Diceros bicornis minor: one gene and its partners. The protein of the gene in region 1 interacts with the protein of each later gene in a biochemical or structural test. Links are inferred from orthologs where the notes say so. Each region holds a gene or a part of one and is shown in the gene's direction. Other genes may lie near its edges.

Region 1 (3,745 bases):
GCAGCGTTATTCACAATAGCCAAGACTTGGAAGCAACCTAAGCGCCCATCAAGGGACGAATGGATAAAGAAGATGTGGTATATATACACAATGGAATACTACTCAGCCATAAGAAACGATGAAATCCAGCCATTTGTGACAACATAGATGGACACTGAGGGTATAATGCAAAGTGAAATAAGTCAGAGGGAGAAGGTCAAATACCGTATGATTTCCTTCATTAAGTAGTAGATAATAACAACAATAAACAAACACATAGGGACCGAGATTGGATTGGTGGTTACCAGAGGGGAAGGGGGGAGGGAGGAGGGTGAAAGGGATAATTCGGTACATGTGTGTGGTGATGGCTTGTAATTAGTATTTGGGTGGTGAACATGATGTAATCTATGCAGAAATAGAAGTACAATGATGTACACCTGAAATTTTTACAATGTTATAAACCAATGTTACTGCAATAAACAAAAAATTAAAAAAAAAAAAAACTTCAATACAAGCTCCCATATCGTATTGGGCGACTGAGAGAATGAAGGCCTCTGGTCAGTTTGTCAGAGGTGTGTTAGCCAGGTGAGAATCTCCCCCCCCTCCCCCAGGCACTTAGAAATTCAGATGTCAGGCTCTACTTCCAGTATAACAGTGTTTCAACAAACGAGGTAAAAATAACTGTTTATGTGAAAATGCTTTACAATGTAATAAGCGCCATTTAAATCTTGGTCTAATTTAAGATTTTACTCTAGGGTCACAGTTAGATAAATAGATTCGAATGCTCTTTGTTAAAAAACTGCACTACTGTATTAACAACTGAGTGTTTTAAGTGGATTAGCTAAGGAAAGGATTCTCCTTGGTCAATAACAAAAAAGCTAGAAGGAAAGCAAGTTGAAAGGAAGCAGACCCAGGGAAACTTGATCTCCAACAAGGGGGAACATTTGGGGACTCGGGAGAGTCAGGGTGCCCGGCCAGCGATAAGGAGGGCCAGCCTGGGACTGGCCTTGAGTCCAGGTGGACAGACTGGGGAGCCAGCCATGGCGAAACCCGCTCGGGACCTTTCCGTGATAGGACATCATCCCGGCACGACGGGAATGAAAAGGGTAGCAGATCTGGGAGCGGAAAACCCAGCCTCCTCCCGCCCCCAGAAGCAACCAAGCCACCCTGCCGAGAGAAGACACCCCTCAGACAAAACAAAGGCTCCAGCAGCGGGAGGAGACGTAGAGTGCGCCTGCGCCACGGCTCGCGCGTGCGCGTGGCGGTCAGCGCCCGGCCTGAGGAGTGAGGGGAGGGGAGACCGGGGAAGGGAAGCGCCAAGAGGACCGAGGTAGGAGGCAGGGGAGGGCCGAGCGGTGGGTTGCTCGCGCGCGCCCACTGGTGGCCGGAGGAGAAGACGCCCGCGGAGGCCTCGCTGCCCGCCCCTCCCCTGGGGAGGCTCGCGCTCCCGTTGCTCGCGCCTGCGCGGCCCGCCGGTCTCGGGAGCGCGCCCTCTCGCTGGTGCGCGCGCTCGCAGTCTCCGCCACCCACCAGCTCCGGCACCAGCAGCAGCGCCGCCGCCGCCGCCGCCCACCTTCTGCCGCCGCCACCACAGCCACTTTCTCCTCTGCTTTCCTCTACTGTCGTCGCCCTCTGTCGACTATCAGGTAAGCGCGAGGCTCCGAAATCTGCCTCCCTGTCCGCCCCGCTGCACCCCCATGCCGCCGCCCCTGGCGCCCCGCCGCAGAGATGGGTTTCATGAGGTGGGCATTGGTCGGGGGCAACGGCGGAGGCCCCTCCCTGCGCCCTCTGCGCTCCAGGGTTGGGACTTGGGCTGTTTGGAAAGGGACCCATGCAAGGGATGCACGCACGCGTGTGAGTGTGTGTGTGTGTGTGTGTGCGCGCTGGGGGGGGGGTCCACAGGACCCGCTTCGCGCGGACCCGGGCACAGGCTGTGCCCGCAGGGCGGGGCGCGGATGGCGGTGACCTGGGAGAAGGGGCTTCCATGCACTCTCGGTCGCCGCCTTTTGCCGCAATGGGCGTGTGTCTATGTGTGTGTGTGTGGGGGGGCTCCAATGACGACCCCAGAAGCCGAACCTGTTATCCGATTTCTCTGTCTCGGTTTGCCGTCAGCCCTAAGGAAGGTATGGATTGGGTTCTAGAAAAGATGATTCCCTGCCTGCCCCTCCCTACACCTCCCCGGCAGCAATTCCAACCGGGCTTTCGCTGCCCCTGATTTAAGGCAGTGGCCCACGCCCTCTGCGTTTTCCTCCTTCAGAAACCCGCAGGGGACATTTGGGGGCTGGGACTGGAAGCCGTGAGATGGGGAGGGGTCCGGGCGCTGTCACTTTAGTTGCCCTTCCCCCTGCGCGCGCCTGGCACCGAGATTCGAGCAGCGCCGTGCTCGAGAGAAGGTAGTGCGCGGATCCCAATGTGGAGGCTCGGAAAGGCAGGGGTCACCTGGCCTGGCGATGTGGAAGGACTCGGCAGAGGCCGATCCCGGCTCGCGGGTGCTGACAGCCACAGCCCCGCACAGACCGGCGCGGGGGCTGCAGGTGCATTTCGGGGCGGGCGCCTTTCTCTGCGCTCTGCGCCCTGCGCCCGGCGTCCAGCGTGAGCGCTCCCTGCCGGAGGCGCGGGGCTGGCGCGCAGGGCTCGCCCCTCACTGCGGCAGTGGGTGTGGACCCGGGTGGGCGAGAAGGGGGAGGGTGGGCTGTGCCTCCTCCCACTCCCACCCCCGCTTTTTTCCTCTCTGAACGCGAGGTGCCATCTTTTCGCGGCGTGTCACCTCTTTACGATACCATGCCAAGCCGGGTGGCTGGGCTTCGGAGGACAGGGCGGGGACTGTCATTAAAGGGGGGGGGGCAATCAGCGCTGAAATCTTGGCGTTTTTGCTGCTGCGGGCTTGAGCCCCAGGGGCGTTCACCCAGGATCTTCCTGGGGGTCTCGCTGCTTTGTTTGTCGGGCTTACATGATCCGCGTTGCCAGCCTTGGTTTTTTGGCTTTTCTTCTATGAGGGTGTTTAACCAAGGCCCCCGGTTTTCGCCCCTCATTTCCGAGCCCTTTGTTAGATCTCGGGGCTTGCTGGGGTCGAGGAACTCGAGTCACAGCCCCGGGGGCACGCATGGAACGGGCGTGACCCTGCGCGGCCCCCTCCCGGAGCCAGGCCGCGAGCCGGGAAGCGTCCGCGAGGCCGATGGGGTGGGATTCGAGGTCTGCGCGCGCTGTACGGATGGCCGCAGATGGACGACGCCCCTCCCCACACCCAGAGCTTCCTGGGGGCCACGCCCCACCAGCCTGCGGACCAAGGGTCACCGGCGACCCCTGGGAGGTCGGGGGGTAGCTCGCGCCCCTCTCCGCTTCACGCGCTGTTGCTTCGCCAGTCAGGAGAATGTGAGGAGGGGGCCCGAGGTTTCGTCCGGTGCTGCAGGCCACACCCATTTTTCCCGAGCGGACTGGGAGGGGGGCGCGGAGATGAGGTTGCCATAGAAACCACACGCGTCGGGAGAACGGAGCTAAGGGCGTTGCCCCGCCCCTTCCCGGCAGAGATTGAGAGTCCTGGGGAAGGGGGGGCAGCGCGCCCTCGGCCTCCTGGAGGGAGACCCCCCCCAACCCTGAGTCTGTTGGTCTTCCTAATTGCCTTTCGGCGGCCGCAGCCACCCGGATAGGCGTTCCTCGTGTATTTTTATTATTGTGGCCGAATATTATTTTAGAAACGTGCGGAATTTTCACTAAAGGGCCCGAGTTCACCAACGCCCTTGAAACCGGTGGGGAGGGGGCAGTGCGG
Region 2 (3,745 bases), on another chromosome or scaffold:
ACGGCGGTGAGCGCCGATTGGCTACGCCACGAGCTTCGGCCTCCCTCCCTTTCCCTTTTGCCCCCACGCCAGCTCCGAAGGTTCAGGCCAATCAGAAGGCGCTTTATAGACGCCCTCCTTTCGCTTTTTTCTTCTCCCCACCTCGACGAGGGAGGAGACGTTCTGACTGGCCAGGCTGTCCTCGGAAGCCCCCTTCTCTTCACCAATCAGCGAGGGAGGAACACTCCCAGCGGAGTTTTCAGCCAATTACAAAGCGGCCGCGGCGCCCAGCGGTGCCGTTTCACCAGCAACGCAGGGTTTCACCGTCCTTTAACTCTTCAAGCTTTTTCCTGAGGGCCGGCGACTCTGATTGGCCACTGTTGCCATTGTCGAATTTCTCTTCTACCCAGCCACAGAACAAGGCGAACCCACCTTCTCGTTCGGCTATCTTCGGCACTTTCCGCTTTTTGGGCGTGGATTTCCAGCGACACTTTGTAATTGGTTCCTCAGGTCCATCGGCTTTTTCCGGGAGGAGCCGCAAAGAAACGACGTCCGTGATTGGCTCCGCTCGGTCTTCGGCTTCCCAGCCGAAGCGGGCGGTCGCGGGGCTCGGCCGGCAATTCCTAGACGCCTGTTACGCGGGCGGCGGGGCGCTGGGCGGTGTAAGGCTGGGTGGGGGAGGAAGGAGGCGGCGGACGAGTAGGAGGGGGGAGGGGGAGTGGGGAAGAGCTAGGCGGCTGCGCAGACGGCGCTCCTCACACAGAGCAGCCCCCGACCCGGGCGAATGCGGGCTTGTGCTGCCGCTGCTGCTGCCGCCGCCGCCGCCCGGGCCGAGTGACAAAGGAAGGAAGGAAGCGAGGAGGAGCCGGCCCCGCAGCCGCTGACAGGGCTCCGGGCTGGGGGCAAAGCGCGGACGCTTCCTGAGCGGGCACCGAGCAGAAGCGAGGGGCGGGAGGGCGGCCGCGCTGGTGCCGTGGACGGGGGAGGGGGCCCCGAGGGACGGAAGCGGTTGCCGGGTTCCCATGTCCCCGGCGTATGGGGAGCAGTCGAGGAGCCGCTGCCTGGGATCTGAAGGGAGCTGCCTCCGCCACCGCCGCCGCCATGGCCGCTGGATCCAGCCGCCGCCTGCAGCTGCTCCTGGCGCAATGAGGAGAGGAGCCGCCGCCACCGCCCGCCTCTGACTGCCTCGCGACTCCGCCGCCCTCCAGTCAGCCGGATCCCGCCGCTGCCGGAGCCGCAGCGCTTCCCGTCGCATCTCCGAGCCACCCCCTCCCTCTCCCTCCCTCCTTCCCATCCCCCCTTCTTTTCAAGCGTGAGACTCGTGATCCTTCCGCCGCTTCCCTTCTTCATTGACTCGGAAAAAAAATCCCGAGGAATATATAATATTCAAAGTACTTATTTTCAATCAAGTATTTGTCCCCGTTGCACGTGATTTTTTTTTTTTTTTTTTTAGGATTCCTCCTCCCCCCTTTCTCCCCTACAAGGAAAGGGAGGGGAAAGAATTGTATTTTTTTCCCAGCCCCAAATCATCTATATGTTCAATATCCATACTGATCTGTCTTGAAGGAGAAATACATCGCTCGTTTTTTTTTATAGCTGTACAAGAGGAGTGAAAAGCCAAGTGGACGAAGTCTTTTTCTTTTTCTTGTGGGAGAACTTAATGCTGCATTTATCATTAACCTAATACCCCAACATAAAACAAAAGGAAGCAAAGGAGGAAGGAAGGAAAAGGTGATTCGGGAAGAGAGTGATCATGTCAGGGCGGCCCAGAACCACCTCCTTTGCGGAGAGCTGCAAGCCAGTGCAGCAGCCTTCAGCTTTTGGCAGCATGAAAGTTAGCAGTGAGTATTGATTTTATTTTATACCCCTTCTTCACCTCACCTTTAAAATAAGAAACCTTGAAATACCAGGATCTTAAGATCCTAGATCTCCTGATATAACCATCAGAGGTAATGGAAAAGCGCAAAAACCTGTCTTCAGTCAAGGATGAGGCAGCTCCCTCTTTTCTCCTCCCATACCTCCCCCGGTCTCATTAACCTTGAGTGCAGAGAATATGATTTTTATTTGGATGATTCGATTTGAAACACTTCTTAGAATTTTCTTGCTGGTGGTAGTCAGCTTTATCAAGTGCTTGAGTATTTCCATGTTAAAATAGTGATGGGAGTGTTTACTTGCTTATCCTTTGGAATAAAGAGAAGGACAAGACTTGATTCATAAACCATTATGTGCATTTGCAGAGTCTGTGTCTCTTTGAATGAGGAATATTGTAGTTAGCTCAGATCTCTGGGCTTATCATAGTTTTGTACACTTAATAGAGAGCCTTAATGTCACAGGCTTCTAACATTTCTCTCTTGCTTGTGTGACTATACGCAGTGTTTGTTCTTTATCCAGAGATAAACTTGCTCAGTGACCAGCAGTGGCGTCTGGGGGCGAGCATCGATTCCTCCCTTAGAAGGGGCGGGTGGGAGCTGATAGATACCAGTAACAGGAGTATGTCTACATGCATTGTATTAAATTGGATAAGTGGTTTAATATGTTCTCTCTTAACTTTTCTGCTTTGACATTACCGATCTACTAGTATATAATTTATGTTTAATCAAAAGGTAACTTGGAACTGAGTCTGAGTTTTGATTGAGGTTTTTATTGTCATGTTGCCACATTCCAAGTTGAATGTTAATTGTCACTGACTCATCATTTAAGTTCAATTTTGGGGTGTCATTGCATTCAGTATTTGTTAAATGATCTAGACTAAAGGGGTCCCTTTTTAGGACTGTTTAAAATTCTCTGGCGTTGGTTTCCTGTCGTATTTAGATAAAACTATAGACTTAGTTATAAGAATATGGATTTTAGACCTTTCCGTCATAGATTTTGCAGAGCACTGTGGTCCTGAATATAATAGGGATATTTGGGCTGTGTTCAGGGTTGTTGCTAGACTGTACTCTTGTCCCAGATTTGTGCTGAAAAGTCTGTGTTCTTGAGGTGTTTGGTATACTAAGTATCCGATATTCTAATGTATCTCTCTCTATTTGTGGATATGTTTCTGTGATATTTAATGACAGCTTATTTAAATATACTTCCAGAATTTGACAAAAATATATTGTTTTCTTATTCCTTGAGAAAGGGGCATGATGAGGGCAAAGAATACTATTTTGTTGCCTAGGAGAAGAAGAGAACTGAAGAACTGAGATTAAAAAAATGTACATGCTGTTATATGAAATTGATTATAACCTTAGGCAACATAAAATGATCACTTTTAATTGAACTCAGGATTTCAATTCATGTTGGCTTTTGAAACTTGCGTGAAACAGGGTAATCTAAGGTAATAGCTGAATGGGAGATTATTTTTGAAAGTTAATTTTTTTTTTGGTGACTAGCTAGTACAGAATGCAGGGTATGTGAAGAGAAAAGCTGACCATGCGTCTTTCAGGGAAGGGTCAAGCTTTCTAAGCACTTCATGGGGTCATTTAAAAGGAATATTTTAAAATTCAGGCGTAATTTTCAGCTATGATGAAGCAAATCTTATAATAGCTACTTAAGAGCCTCTTGTGGCACTGGAGTGTTTGTATGTTTTTCTCCTTGGTAATATAGTTTAAAAACCACTTGAAATCAATTTTAGGTAATTAATTTGTTAGATCTGTTTCAGAGAGCCAAATAGAATAGCTTATAATGTTAAAATTTTGAGTTTTTTGTTTCCATGATTTTCTTTGAAAATGACTCCTTAATTCTCCGTAGTGTGGATGTTGACTGAGGATGGAGTAACTTTTGT
Region 3 (3,745 bases), on another chromosome or scaffold:
AGCAATGCAAAAATTTTCTTGAAGCCCGCGCGCGCGTTTGCCCGTATGTCTGTGTGTGGGATGGGGTTAGGTGTCAGCTCCGAGGGCAACGTGAATCAGAAGTCAGAAAGGTGAGCGGTGTGTAGAATCTCCCTTTCAAAAGGGATGGAAGAAAGAATTGGATATGACGGTTCGGGAAAATAAACCACGCTGGATTTGTCTCCTCCATCCAGGCACTTGAATCTGAAAAGTAAATTCCGTTTCGAGAAGGAAAAGCTGTATATAGCTGCTTGGTTTCGACGGCTGGGGAATATTTATTCCTCGTTCCGCTGATGGGAAAAATCGGCGTCTGGCAGCCGCTGATTGGTGGAAAAGAAAATGGTGATAGTGGGGTGGGAAGAGGATTTGACGAGCCTCCTCCTGCCTTCTCAACCTGTAACTCATCCTTGCTACTCTCCTCCCCACCCGCGGGACCCCGTCGGGATCATGAGAGGTTAAGAGCAAACGAAAATCTGGCAGATATTTAAACAAAAGCACCTTTAACGTTGTCTCCTACGACCATTAATCAAATTTCAGCGATCCGAGGGAAACGTGCTCTTGGCGATGCCGATGTGAGCATCCTTCCTGAGCTGCCTGCCTTCTTCAGCAGCTCCCCGAGAGATTGGCTCTATCTTTGGCGGTCCATCCCTCAGGCCCCCACTCCCCCAGGTTGGCTCTGACGTGGGGGTCCTCGTGAGGAACCAGAGGGAAAGGCGGAGACAGGGAAGGACGGGGGATGGGAAAGAGAGAGCCATCAGCCCAAGCCTAACCGCTCCCGATCCCCGCAAGAGTCCCCGTGACCCTGAACTTGCAGTGAAGCGCAAGACACCCCATTTCCCGCCTCCCAGGCCCAGGCGGGCGGCTGGAGTTGGAGGTACAGCCTTCTCCCCGCCCCCCTCCCCATCCGAGAAGAGGAGTGAAGTGCACGCGGCAGGGAAAGCAGCGAGCGCCGGGCGAGGGGCGGGGAGAGGCGCTGACAAATCAGCTGCGGGGGCGGCGAGCGGAGGAGCGGGAGGAGGAGGAAGGGGAGGAGGAGGACCACGACGACGGGAAGGGGACCCGAGAGGGGGCGAGCGACCGAGCGCGGCGACGCGGGGTGAGGTGTGTGCTGGTTTTAGAGCAGACCCGGGGACCGAGCCTTGCCCTTAGCATCCTTCGCGCTCTCTCCCCGCCTTCCCCTCCGACCCTCTGTCTCTTTCTCTCGGATCCTCCCGTGCGGGGGACGAGGAGTGGCAATTCGACGACAGTTCGCGGGTTCGCCTCCCACGCCCCCAGCCTCTCTTTGCCGGGTTGTGCTGACAGCAGCCTCCTCTGGGGACAATCCCTCTCCTGGTACCGCCTCCGCCCTTCCCGTCCGCTCCTTATCCTCCCTCTTCCCATTTAAATAATATTTGGAAATTGTTTAAATTTGTTTTTAAAGAGGGGGTGGGGTGGGGAATCGGAGTTCTGAGGAGCGGAGCGACTCAGGTAAGTACCTGTGGATCTAAACTGGCAGCTTTGGAAATCCTGGAGAAAACCTGGTGGGAGAGGAGTCATTGTGGACGCCTGGGGGCGGGGGTGGGGTGGGGGGGAGGGGGCTGCAGTGAGGACCCGCTGTGTCAAGTCTCGGAGGTGGGTTCTTATCCCTTTGGTGAGCTTGAGGAAAGTAAGTTGCCCTGGCTTTCCTCCTGTTCCGGTATTTCACTCTTCTCGTCCTCAGAGGCTGAGAGGTCAGGCTTCTCCCGGATACGCTTTTCCTTTGGGAAACGCGAGGATGCTAGGTGGAACGAGAGCGTCCAACTTTTATTTCTCTCTTACTTGAAATCCCAGTCCGCCCTCTCGGTTCTCTTTGTAAAGTAAACAAGCTGTGTTTAGCAGATAATTAAATGGAAGTGCAGAGAGGGCAAGTCAACAGGTGGTAAGGGGTTAACAGGTGCAGGTTCGGGTGGGTAGCGGGTTCACGTGCGCTGAGAACGCCCCCTCGGGCGGCTGGCGCGCGTCTGGAGACGGCCGGCGGGTGTGAACTAGCGCCTGCTCAGAGCAGATAGCTGCGGGCGGGGATGGATGGTCGGGTGGATTAGAGCGAGGGCGGGTGGGCTGCAGTTGGCCTGAAGTGCAGCCACACCCAGAGTGAGTAGTTCTCTTCCCTCCCTTCTCCATGATCAACCTGTTAGCCCTTTTCTGGGATTCGTTTTAAGAGTGCCCCTGACCCCATGCCTCCAGCTCCCTTTCTTTTCCTGTGATGTGTCTTTTAAACGTACTTCTAACTTGTAATGTCACCATTTGGACCCTGGCAAGTTGAAAGAGGGGGTCCATCTTTTCATGCAACTCACTCAGGAAATGCAAAATTAGAACAGCTCCGGTGATTCATTCTAATCCGTGTTTAGGGGACTAGACTTTTACCAGCCAAGATGGATGGGGGATGCTAAATTTTTAATGCAAAAGCTAAAAAAGGCTTCTTTGTCCAATGGCTGAAGTAAGGGTGCACTTAAAAGAGTCTCGAACTTTTGTTCTACTGATCTTTCCGTGGGTTTCACCTTGGGTACTTCTAATTTCGTTTTGTTTTACGCAAGAATTCTCGTTCAAAGTGTATTTTGTATTCTCCAGTGTGGTGTGGTGTAAAGGAATTCATTAGCCATGGATGTAATCAAGAAGGGACTTTCAAAGGCCAAGGAAGGAGTTGTGGCTGCTGCTGAAAAAACCAAACAGGGTGTGGCAGAGGCAGCAGGAAAGACCAAAGAGGGAGTTCTCTATGTAGGTAGGTAAGCCCCAAATGTCATTTTCATGTTTATTTATGGCTGATGGGTTAGGATGATTGATACTCTAAATGCTGGTATTTCTCCCTTGATTCACTTTTGTATTATCACTTGTCAAAAAGATGGACTGAGTCAGAGGTATGTGTGGGTAGGTGAATGTGTATATTTGAGCTAATAGTAAAAAGTGGGGCTAATCTTTTGTTTTTCCAGATTAATTTTGCAGTAATACTTAGGACTTTGTTTTTTTAATAAATGTTTCTGTGCTAAGTGACTATATTTCAAAGGACACTTTTTAGAACTCAATCTTTTAAAAATAATCAAGACTATTCTTAATCAAAATCGTGCATGAGCCTTTGTTTTTTTTGTCCTCATGAATAATATTTGATAATTTTAGTGTATTCTTATTTTAAACTTTGGTATGGCCCTGGGATATGTAAAAAGAGACCTACTGTGACCCTATAAAGGAAAGAACAGAAGAGTCTTTGGTGGAGTTACTTCTTATGACCACTTGGTACGCTGGGGTCTAAGAGCTCAAGAAAGTGCTTGAAGGCTGCTACTAATATCTCGGAGACATTTATATAGCTCCTTTATTAAATGACACACACAATAAATAATGAGATTGATGCTTGTCCTTTCTACTTGTTCCTAAATTCCCACGTGGGGGTATTCATGCAGACCCTGACTATCTTTTCTTTATCTTGAACTGTGTTAGGTTAGGTTGGATGTTATTTTACAAACCACTTCAAATTCTTTAGCGAAGAAATAGACAAACAGATATACACACGCTCTCCACAAGGATACACTCACACACACTCACCCACTGCCTATTCTGCCTCTCCTATTTCTTCCTGCTCCTCTGAGCTCTGCCAGGGTCTCTGGTGGCAGCTGTAGCAGCAGCAGCCACCGGATGAGCAGGAAGGTGCAGGAGGGGCACGTTGCGTGCCATAGGGTGCTATGCCCACGTCTGTGGGGTGAAAGGAAGCTACACTCTC

The links.
Region 2: of the proteins of MAPT (region 1) and GSK3B, one has a biochemical effect on the other in vitro, tested with the Homo sapiens proteins (21 studies listed by BioGRID and IntAct, with this or other methods). The link is inferred for Diceros bicornis minor from reciprocal best matches to the Homo sapiens genes MAPT and GSK3B.
Region 3: the proteins of MAPT (region 1) and SNCA form a complex in vitro, tested with the Homo sapiens proteins (3 studies listed by BioGRID and IntAct). The link is inferred for Diceros bicornis minor from reciprocal best matches to the Homo sapiens genes MAPT and SNCA.

What each region holds. Positions count from the first base shown.
Region 1 is NC_080757.1:44,470,001-44,473,745, forward strand, and holds the start of MAPT (microtubule-associated protein tau), read left to right. Parts: upstream 1-1,531; 5' UTR 1,532-1,625; intron 1,626-3,745. UniProt on the Homo sapiens protein: Promotes microtubule assembly and stability, and might be involved in the establishment and maintenance of neuronal polarity.
Region 2 is NC_080754.1:21,500,294-21,504,038, reverse strand, and holds the start of GSK3B (glycogen synthase kinase-3 beta), read left to right. Parts: upstream 1-1,234; 5' UTR 1,235-1,732; coding exon 1,733-1,820; intron 1,821-3,745. Other genes in the region: uncharacterized protein LOC131414749, read right to left, coding at 614-1,234. UniProt on the Homo sapiens protein: Constitutively active protein kinase that acts as a negative regulator in the hormonal control of glucose homeostasis, Wnt signaling and regulation of transcription factors and microtubules, by phosphorylating and inactivating glycogen synthase (GYS1 or GYS2), EIF2B, CTNNB1/beta-catenin, APC, AXIN1, DPYSL2/CRMP2, JUN, NFATC1/NFATC, MAPT/TAU and MACF1.
Region 3 is NC_080747.1:73,700,101-73,703,845, reverse strand, and holds the start of SNCA (alpha-synuclein), read left to right. Parts: upstream 1-1,060; 5' UTR 1,061-1,119; intron 1,120-2,604; 5' UTR 2,605-2,634; coding exon 2,635-2,755; intron 2,756-3,745. UniProt on the Homo sapiens protein: Neuronal protein that plays several roles in synaptic activity such as regulation of synaptic vesicle trafficking and subsequent neurotransmitter release.